Caenorhabditis elegans: one gene and its partner. Each later gene encodes a partner of the first gene's protein in a complex. Each region holds a gene or a part of one and is shown on either strand. Other genes may lie near its edges. The genes, in order: mec-12 and atat-2. A codon is read from its position in the direction of its gene.

Region 1 (5,179 bases):
TTTTGTGAAATTTCTTTGTAAAAGATTTATTGAAATTTAGAAAAAAGTGAAAAAAAAATTATTTCAAACCACTGTAAAGTACCCAGCTACAACACCCAACGATTTTTGGGGCGAGACCCATATTTTCAGAAATTTTTGAATTCTTTAGAATCTAGCCATGATTATACTTAAATAAAAACTATAAATGTGCGGATTTTCAATTTACAATAAATTTTAAATTTCAGAACAAAATCGGCAAGTTACTGGGGCTAACTCCAAAATGTTAAAAATGTTTAAAAAATGTTGAAAATTCTCGAAATTTTAACTTTGATCGAAATTGAAATTTTTTGCCGAATTTTTTCTGTAAAATTAAAGCTATCGTCAAACTCTTTTTTACAAAATCAATAAAATACACAAACTGAAAAAAAAACAATTCAGCTAGACAATTTGAGATTTTTCGATTTTTTTTCAAAAATTTTCAAAAACTGCACAACAAAATTCCCTTCGTTCTTTTTTCTCAAAGCCTTTTCTTCTCAAAATTTATCATTTTCCAGTTCTTCCAAGAATATGAGACCCTATCAAAAATGAATGAAAAAGGAAGATCATCAGCTTAAAAATTCATACAACAGTGGTCCCAAGTCCCCCAAAAAATTCCAAATTCATCAAAATTTGAGTGTTAGAAATTGTGATAAGGTCCTAGGATCCTATTGGTAGTAGGGAAAAACTTAAAATTTAACAAAAAAAAAGGAATTTTTTTGAAATTATACTAGTTTTGAATACATTTTAAGCAGTAAAGGCCAATAAATACACAGCTGAATACTAGTCACCGCAAGCTTCATCGCAGAGCTCTGAATCTGAATGCATTAGGAGGTTCTTTCCATTTCCATCGGTAAACCAATCCTTTTGCTCATTTCCAGATGGCTTTCTCTCTCGGCTCTCTCCACCTTACACACTATTTCCTTGGATTACTGTAGTTGGGCGGAGTCTCTAAGGGGTAACCTGATACTGTTTGCTGAGGGCTCACGGAGCCAGAGAGGGCAGATGGCTGGAAATTGGTGGAAGTGGTGGGGAGAAGAATGTGTTGTTGGAAAATGTAAAAATTAATTTTTAATTATTAATTTTTTAACATGTAGAAACTTTAAAAAATTCAACTGACTTGCGAAAAGGTTTTGAAAAATTACAAAAAAATTTCAAAGCAAGAAGTTTTTTTTCAATTGTTTTTTAATCGATTTCTCTCAAAAACCTGTAGAGCTACGAAAAAATTGTCAACAAACAAAGTATAGCTCTAAAAATTGTCTACAATTTGCTAGTGAACAAATTTTTGATAACTTTCCTGGTTTTTGAGATATACAGCTTTATCTACAAAAAACGATTTTTTTTCAAACTGTATTTTGAAAAACTGAACTAGAATAATAATTGGGATCCGAAAATTTTAATATTTTTGATGTTTTTTTGTGGAATATTCGGCAAACTTACCAAGCTCGGTGAATGGCAAATTTCGGAAAATTTGCCGCACACCCTGGCATGTACCTTTCACCTAGGTTCCTTTAGACACATGTATTTCCGCGACGAGATAATGTATCAAAAAGTTGTCAACTTACAAAGTGTATCAAATTTCAAGAGCTTAATTTTGTTTGTTGGCAATTTTTGATAACTCACCTGGTTTTTGAGATACGTACGTTTGAATTTTAAATTTAAAAAAAATTGTAGAAACTTTTTTTTGAAAACTTCTCACCAAAACTAGGTCTTTAGAGTCCTTTCTAATTTGCCTTTGGGCAATATGTTACTTTTTCCCCAGTAACAGTTAAATTATATGAAGTAGAAGTTTCGCGATGGGAAATATCAAAATGTAGAACATCATAAAAGCTATATTTTGCTAATTACCAGCAGAGATATAAGATTTTTAAACACTGTCAAGGAAATTTTTTATTTTGTATTTTATTAGTTTTCAACAGAATTTTAATATGTCAAAACCAATGTTCTTAACAATTTCGCAACATTTTAATTTAATTTCGTTTTTTCTCTGTTTTTCGGAATTTCATGTCGTCTCCTTTCCCATCCTAAACATGGAGCTCGCGGAGCAAAAAAAGAAACATAGGAGGGGCGGAGCATGTGTCAACACGGAGAGACGCAGAGAAGGCACGTCTTCAGAAAAGAGGCTCACAGAGCACAGAGCCCCACTTGTGTGTGTTCTGTTCCATCTCAACTCGTCGCCCAGCAAACACAACTTGTAGCTCCTCTTTTGCAAAATGGTGGGTTTTCTAGATTTTCTGAACAATGTTTATTTGAATGTTTAGATTCTTGAGATGCTAGAAATGAATTCTTGTGAAAAATGAATTTTGAAACATTTAAACCTCGCCATAAAAACTTTACGAATCTGATTTCTTGTTAAAACTACCAGTATCTAGAAAAATAACGTGAATACTAAAAATTTGTCAACAGACAAAATATAGACCTTGAAATTTCCTACATTTCGTTAGTTGAAACTTTTCTTCTAACTCTTTTCCCTGTGGAGATATACTCGTTCAAAATGTAGCAAGCCAAACAGTGTGGAAGGGGGCTGTCTGCGTCTCTTCTCGTGCCACACTATTCCAGTCCTCCTAACTTTAACAGGGCATATCTCCGTTCGGAAAGCAACTGTCAAAAAGTTGATAACTAACAAAATGTAGGAAATGTTAAGTGCTGCATTTTGTTTGTTGAAATTTTTTGATATCTCAGCTCTTCGCTGAGATACAAACACTTAAAGTTAGCGACGAGATAGTGTAAGAAGTGGTGAGACGCAGACGCCATCGCCGTCTGCGTATGCGTTATCAGGACACATCTTGGTTAGGAACCCTGATATCAAAACAAATTATTTTAACAATTTTAGGAAAAAAAAACAATTTTTCGAAATTTGATTTTGAAAAACTAGGATTTTAGGATTTATTAACTCTTCCACCTCAACACCCCTTCAACATTTTTTCGACTCATTGAGCACACCTGGTGCCAGGTCCGGACTTCCGGAGCCCCACCACATAAACACAGGAAATGTTGCCAATTCAACTGAAAAATGCTCCGCGCCGAGCAGGACGGGGCGAAGGAGGGTTGTTGAGGAGTTGAGACGAGCAACACAAAATGTATCCAATTTGGGCGAAAATTGACTTTTTTCTCTTTCTTTTTGCGGGTGGAACTTTAGGGAGGAGAGGACTATTCCTAGAAGAAATACGCACTCTTCGTGGCGAGACCCGCGAAATTTTATTGAAAATTGAGTTTTACAATAAAATAGTGGGTTTGAACAAATTTGAAATTCGCCACGAATGTAAATTTTTCAGAGGGTTTGATCTACCTGTCTACCTGTAATACATATCAGATATCGTAGTAAACTTTTTAAAATGAAAATTTGAAATTTTGATTCAAAAATTCAAATTCACCACGCTGTGAGCTTCAATTCAAGTATAGTCATGCCTAGGTTTCACTGAGAAAACTGGGTCCCACCGCGAAAACTACAGTACCCCATGTAGACACTTTCGTGACGGGACCCAAATCTAAAGGAACATAGCCAATATGGGGCTTAATTTGAAGCTCTTCGTTTGCTGAATTCAAATTTTATAATAAAACCCTTTAAAATCTACAAACAAAAAAAGTTATCTTGCAGAGAGAAGTAATTTCGATTCACATCGGACAAGCCGGAGTCCAAATCGGAAATGCTTGCTGGGAGCTCTACTGCCTGGAGCACGGAATTCAGCCCGATGGTCAAATGCCTTCTGACAAGTCCCTCGGAGGATCCGATGACTCTTTCAGCACTTTCTTCTCGGAAACTGGAAGTGGACGTCATGTGCCAAGAGCCGTCATGGTCGACTTGGAGCCAACTGTCATTGGTGGGGGATTTTTTTTAAGAAGATATTTTTGAATTTTCACTTAAATTTTTGAAATCAGTGTTAAAAGCCCGTTAAAATAAGTATAATCATGACTAGGTTCTGAAAATGCTGAAATTTTTGGGTCCCGTCACGAAAACGTATGTGGTACTGTAGCAATCTTACAGAGATGTTAAAAATTATTATTTTTGCGTAGTTCAGGACTTTACGCATTTATAACTTCTAATTTCCGCCCAAAACTTTAAGTTTTGGCACATTTATGGATTTTCGAAAAATTTCGAAAATCAAAAAATTTAAATTTTCAAAACGGCACAGCAATATTCCCAGTTTCACCGCAAGACCTAATTTTTTTGGTTTTCATATTTGGCATTTTGAGAACTTTCATTTGAATATGCAAACATAACTAAGCTATGAAAATTCTGAAGGGGTACTGTAGCTCTCGTGGCGGGACCAAACTTTTTTGGAAATCTGGTCATGATTATACGTATTTTGAAGGTGTCGGAAAGCTGAAAAAAATTTTAAAATTTTGAGTTAAAAGGTCTAACTTTATGACTTTTTGTGGTTCTGCGAAAAAACGCAATTGGAAAATTTTTGATATTAGGCTTCTCCGAAAACCCTAGAAAAACGTCACCAATTCCATTTCGGCTCAATTTTCAAAGAGCTCTTCCTCTTTTTGCTTCAAATGGCGAGCCCATTGTGATGTAATTAGACGCAGACACTACACATCTGCTAACATGAATGGATGTACTCTCTCCAAGAATTTAATGGAATTGGAGTAGGACACCCTATTAGGGATGCAAATGGAAAATGTTTTGCTATTTGACGGAGGAAATTTTGAACATTTTCAGAGAAATTTGGGGTATCTGAAAATACTATACAAAATTTCTCACATTTTGTTAGTTGAAACTTTTTTGATAGCTGTTTTCTACGCAGAGTTACAAACGTTTTAACGTGTCGTTGTAAAAGATCGTGGGAGAGAAAGAGACGCAGACAACGAGCGCGACTGCGTCTCCCCTCCCTCCACACTCTCTCACTGTTCTTACTTTAAACGCGTATATCTCCGCGATGAGGAGAGCTATCAAAAAGTTGACAACTACCAAGTTGTAGGAAATTTTGAGCTCTATAATATGTTAATAAACAATTTTTTATTAACTCAACTTCCGGCAAAGTTATAGGCGTTTCAAGTTAGTCTAGAAAATTTGTTTGTCGTTAGTTTTGCAACTAAAACCAAAAGTTCCATGTTCCATCAACTTCCCAAATAGACAAAGTATACTCTCGGGAGGAAGCTCATCTTCCCCTCTCACCAACAAACTTCTTCGTCTGCTATTCATATAAAAAAGAAGAAA
Region 2 (5,367 bases), on another chromosome or scaffold:
AGTCAGGGCATCTTACTTTTCAATTTCCAAATCGACACCCCACGGAAGCTGGACCTTTTGTAAAATACGACACGCGCACGCGTGCCACCGAACTACTTCTCTCTTTCATTGCGCATGTCCTCTCACCCCCCGAAAAGCAGACTCCCTTTTGGAATCGATTGTTCGTGCCCACTTTTCCGGCTTTATTTCGCAACACCACTTCTCGCTCCGTCTCACCACATTACAAATTCCCATACGATTCGGGAGAGTTGTAGCATTTTGAAATATATCTTGGCATAGTAGTTTTGCAATCGAAGCATCTGCTCAGAGCTCTTTTTTTGAGTAGTCATAGTAATATTATTTTTACTAACATCATATTCAAAATAATTTTTTGTATATTTGAAATTATTGATTCGTTTTGAAATTTATGCATAGTATACTTTTTCAATAGGGTTGCACAAAATATATATGGATTTTAATAGTATCTACGTTTTTGGTCTAGCAAATAATATTGAGTTTTAAACTTTTTCTCTTCAATTTCGACCAGTTTAAATGTGATGAACAATAGAGCAACTCGGTAATTGGTTTTTAACTTTCAAATATATTTTTTCGCGGAAATGTTTTTTAAAATGATAAAAACTGCATAGTTTTATCTGAGAAATCAAAAATTGTTTCTATTTTTGATCAATTTATATTTTTAAAATCAATGCATCTGACTCCTACAATTTTTTCGTTTTTTCGATTAGTTGTTTAAATCTGTTTTAAAATGTATAAAATAATCTATAATACATTTCTAAAATAATTTATCCAATGAAATTATATTTCTGTTCACTGCATAGATTTGGTTGGGAAGTAAAATTAAAAATGCCACATTTTTTAAAAATAACATTCATTCGAATTGTACTATTTTTCAAAATTAACTCATCTGTGGGTTTATTGTCTTAAACTGTACGATTATTAGCAAACCAAAAAAAATCTGGGCTTTTTCATAGTTTTTTATCGTTTTTTTCACAAATTTTTCTCATATTTTCCTTTGATATTCCTAACTATTTGACTGAGTAATACAATTTATAGACGGAGTTGGGAAATCGGATTTTTGTCTTAATATTTAGCAAAAATATGCTGGTGTTATACAGGTAATCGCTGATTGGTTGCATTAGTCATTTTGGAAAAATTCAAACAAAAAAATTAGCAGAAGCTGGTAATTTGCAATTTTACGAACTGGACTTTTTCATCTTCCACTATTTATTTTCATTTGGTTTGTCGAAAGTCCACCTTTGAGACAATAATCGCAAAAGTAATAGTCCATATTTAATTACTCTCCACTCGAACCTGTTCGATTGTATAATGTTTGCACAAAAATGAATATTTCATAACTATACTCCGTCATCAATGTGCAAACATTCATACTCGAGCACTTGTACCACATTCTTAAACTTTCCCTCCGCAGTTCTTCATTCACCCACCTGCTTTGATTTTCTCCGCCAATCAATCGAGAAGTATTCAGTGAATCATAAATAAATGACATGTGTGTATCCCATCAAGTTTTTTTTCTCGCATCCTATTTCTTTCCCTTCCTTTTTTTTTCGTACCCCGTTTTATTCCTTCTCTCTTTTCCATATATTGCGGCCGAGGCCAGTAGTCTCGTGTCTTCCGCCCATTTTCTTTAATCGCGTACATAGTCCCTCTCAACTTATCCCAAATTTGTTTCCTTCAGTCCAGCTTAAGTTTCATACTATTTTTCTGTATCACTTTTGTTGCAGAAACATGGAGATCGCATTCGATTTGTCAACAATTTTTACGGATAACATTCAACGTCTCACTCGAACTGACCTATTGAAGTATGGACCAAAACGATATTGGGCTGTGGCTCAAAGTATAGATTGCCTGGGTGAAATGTCATCAAAGGTAGGTTCATGTTTTTTTCCAGAACTTTTTTGAAGGTTATTAACAATGCAAAACTTTTTATATGGCTTAGACAATTGAAAATGCACGGCATTTGTCTTTTTTTTTGCAGTTCCACGGATGGAAGAGAGTCATCACAATGTATGACAAGATCGTTGACCATGACGAGGAGCAGACGACCTACATTATGTGGGAGAAAGTTAATGGGTAAGGCATTTTGAAAGTGAAAACTGGAAATTATAAATTAAAAAAGTGGAAAGAATGTTTCAAAGGTGGAGTAGCGAAATGTGTTGCACATTTTGATCCTTGGCTTCGCGTTTTGAATTTAATACGTTTTGAATTTAATACGTTTTTATTAATAAGTATGAAAATTTTGGAATATTTAAAATGTTTGTTTTTTTGTAAATTGATAAACGCAATAAGGATTGCAACATTAAATAGTAGTTTAAAATTAAAAAAAAAAGATTTTTGAAAAGCTTTCATGAGGTTTTCATATACCTGAATATTGCAGTGTGTATATGAAAAAAAAAGATATAACTTTCAATAATTTGTCCATACCTCTTACTAATAGTAAGACCGTATTTTGAACTTCGAATTTCTTACTTGAATAAATCCTTATATAATCCTTATATATAAACCAACAATCTTTGTTATTGCAAAAAATATATATTGATATTAATTCTAAGAATTTCCAGTCAACAGTTTGTTTTGGTTTTGGCGAATAACCCAATTTTTGAATTTAGAGTTTTGTTGCTTTGCATCCTACAACGCATAATTAAATATAAGTTTCAAATTTATTTTAGTTTTGACTAAAAATATAAATGTAAAACTTAAAAATATATATTTTGGAATTCAATTTTTTTTGCTCATGATTAAAACTAAATTGGGAAAATCGTTCAAAAAAAAAGTTATCTTAATTATTGCTTTTCAGAAGCAAAAGTATACTCAAAGGGTTGCTTCGAGTTGGATATAAAACGCTTTATCTGACAGATAATGAACAAAATCAGTACATGGAAAAAGCAATGTGCATTTTGGACTTTTTCGTTGTGCCCACCGAACAACGCTCCGGAAATGGATTCAAAATGTTTGATGAAATGTTAAAAGTATGTTTTTTTAAATGTTTGTAGAAAAGTGACTTAGAGTTTTTAAATGTTCTACTTCAGGCTGAAAACGTAACAGTAGACCAATGCGCATTCGACAAACCATCAGCTGCTCTCCAACAATTTCTAGAAAAATATTATGATAGAAAAGATTTGGGTAAGTAAATTGCATTCTTGTACCACCGATACATTACAAAATTCGGCCGACAGCAAAGACCGACAAGGTAGATACAGCTCACAGCACCTAAACATACCCGATACTAGTGGATTTCGCACTGGATTAGCTGTTGCTCGCAACCGCAGACTTATTCCGGGTTCCGCGCTAAAGCATACTTTGCATGGAAGTAGCTGGAGCTCTGATAAGCTGATAAGATAATGCATTTTGAAGAGAGTGCTGAATGAGTGAGCAACAATGAAATCACCCGAGTTTCGTTGGCAATGAGCAGTTGTCTTTCATTAGTCATAATCAAAAGTTTTGTTTTTTTAGTAGTATGTCATTAATAATTGGTGTGGAATAAAAAGTTAATATGAAACAAATAAAACATTGATACAATATTCTATTGAAAACTAGTCCATAAAAATAGCTGAATAAAACTCGAATTTGTTATTAATTTTTGCTCGTAAAACAGAAAAATTTATTTCCTCCACTTTCTTGACAGAAATGGATCCCAAAACCTAATTTTAAGCTGAGTTTCATTTGAAAATGTTTAAACACTTTTAGAAAATTCAAATAGGAAAGAATTATTGAACTCATCCATTTTTATCAATAATACTTGTCGAAAGCTTGCCGGAAATGTATTTATGATTACTTAGTATTTTGAATTTTGAACTAATAAAAATACCAGAACGATATTGTTTAAAATCTTTTTAAAAATCAAACTATCGCTCTATTTTCAAATTTGAATTAAATTGCATAAGTAGTTAGTTCACAGTTTTAAAAACTTTATCAATCCATTGTTAGTTTCTTAAATTTATTTCAGTCTTTGGATGCCAAATTATATTCAGAAAAAAAAGCCTTACTTGCAACAGTCATCAATTTGTATGCAAAAAACTTGATACTTAGTTTACGACCGTATTATATGTAGAAATTCTCATCATCCGCAACATTTCCAGTATGGCAATCAAACAAATATGCATTATGTTCAAATTTTTTCATTGGACGTCACCCAACTGTTCCATTCACCCCTCGCCAGACAAAACGAGCGTCTCGAGCCAGTTCAGCTGTGTCCAGTCATGCATCCAGCCGTAACACCTCCCCAATTGGGGTTTGTGAATAAAAAAATAGTTGTTTTGCAAAAAATAATATTTCAGCGCAATCGCCCCCGTCACGACTCGGTTGCTGATTTGATGCGCCAGGATATGTTAGCCGGAGTGCGTGCTGAAGTAGACCCAAATAGTCCAACAGGCTTGAAAAATGCTCGAGATTTTGGACATCGCCGGATTTGGTGATAAGCTGCTAGTTTTTGATTATTTACTTTGGCGGCAGTACACAATAAATATGCCTCCTTGCCTTAGTTATGATCTCATGATTTTTGATATTTCAATCCTTTTTCATAATTCTTCTAATCGCTTAATATCAAAGTTGGCTGTTTTCAAACTCAAAATAATAAATACGAATTATTCATACACAATGAACATAATTATTTAATTTTTAAAATATCAACAAAAAACTCGTAATAAAAGATAGAATGTAATTAGATGATTGAGTTAAATTTTCAGTTATGGTATTACTAACCGGAGTACGTCTGAAGCTAATGCTGAACCGATTGGGATTGTGGCCTAAAATGCAAAAGTTTTTGATTGATGGTAACCTAAACAGGTATCTAGAGAGATCTAGAGTTCAATTAACCGAATAGGGTCGTTTTTTTTTCAATTTTAAAAAGTTGCACTCACTTTGTGAAAGACAGTTTCTCCAAATATCCATAACCAGCTCTGTGCATAGGCTATGGTAGAATAGTAATCGGATTGTAACCGTGTGTGCTTGATTCCACTGAAAACCGATGCTACGATATCATTCACAATAATTCGCCCGTTTTTTGTTATTGGGGCATAAATTCCCTTTCTTTCGGTTATCGATATTCTCATGACTCTTTGTTGGCGAAATTTTCCCTAAAATAGAAATCAATTGTTATTGGAAAACTGAACAGAAAACTTACTTTGTAAAGAAGAACTAGACAATCTCCAACTTTAAGCTCTTCAGCGTAGACCACGTTTCGACCTTTGGGAAGGTATTTGACGTACTCCGCGTAGTTTTCTAAAATTTTATTGTTAACAGTTTCCTAAAATCAATATCTTGTGACCTCATTATCTCAATTTGTTTTACTCAACATTTTTTACAGAAAACAAGAATATTTGATGTTAGTTACAAAAAGCCTAGAATGGA

Evidence for each region.
Region 2: the proteins of mec-12 (region 1) and atat-2 are in contact, whole or in part, in a cryo-EM structure (PDB 8YAL), measured with the Caenorhabditis elegans proteins. Residues at the interface, in NP_497663.1 of Caenorhabditis elegans: Leu26 (codon at 3,686), Glu27 (codon at 3,689), His28 (codon at 3,692), Gly29 (codon at 3,695), Gln31 (codon at 3,701), Pro32 (codon at 3,704), Pro37 (codon at 3,719), Ser38 (codon at 3,722), Asp39 (codon at 3,725), Ser41 (codon at 3,731), Leu42 (codon at 3,734), Gly43 (codon at 3,737), Gly44 (codon at 3,740), Ser45 (codon at 3,743), Glu55 (codon at 3,773), Pro364; in NP_001379875.1 of Caenorhabditis elegans: Trp51 (codon at 2,006), Lys52 (codon at 2,009), Arg53 (codon at 2,012), Ile55 (codon at 2,018), Arg89 (codon at 2,844), Lys93 (codon at 2,856), Thr94 (codon at 2,859), Leu95 (codon at 2,862), Tyr96 (codon at 2,865), Thr98 (codon at 2,871), Gln104 (codon at 2,889), Leu113 (codon at 2,916), Asp114 (codon at 2,919), Asp148 (codon at 3,081), Lys149 (codon at 3,084), Ser171 (codon at 4,106), Asn172 (codon at 4,109), Lys173 (codon at 4,112), Tyr174 (codon at 4,115).

The regions. Positions count from the first base shown.
Region 1 is NC_003281.10:3,136,184-3,141,362, reverse strand, and holds the start of mec-12 (Detyrosinated tubulin alpha-3 chain), read left to right. Parts: upstream 1-2,128; 5' UTR 2,129-2,228; coding exon 2,229-2,231; intron 2,232-3,613; coding exon 3,614-3,836; intron 3,837-5,179.
Region 2 is NC_003284.9:5,847,362-5,852,728, forward strand, and holds atat-2 (Alpha-tubulin N-acetyltransferase 2), read left to right. Parts: upstream 1-1,738; 5' UTR 1,739-1,746; coding exon 1,747-1,887; intron 1,888-1,996; coding exon 1,997-2,091; intron 2,092-2,815; coding exon 2,816-2,987; intron 2,988-3,047; coding exon 3,048-3,141; intron 3,142-4,097; coding exon 4,098-4,249; intron 4,250-4,295; coding exon 4,296-4,433; 3' UTR 4,434-4,610; downstream 4,611-5,367. Other genes in the region: hog-1 (HintN domain-containing protein), read right to left, coding at 4,704-4,763, 4,878-5,093, 5,141-5,238. UniProt on the Caenorhabditis elegans protein: Specifically acetylates 'Lys-40' in alpha-tubulin/mec-12 on the lumenal side of microtubules. Promotes microtubule destabilization and accelerates microtubule dynamics; this activity may be independent of acetylation activity.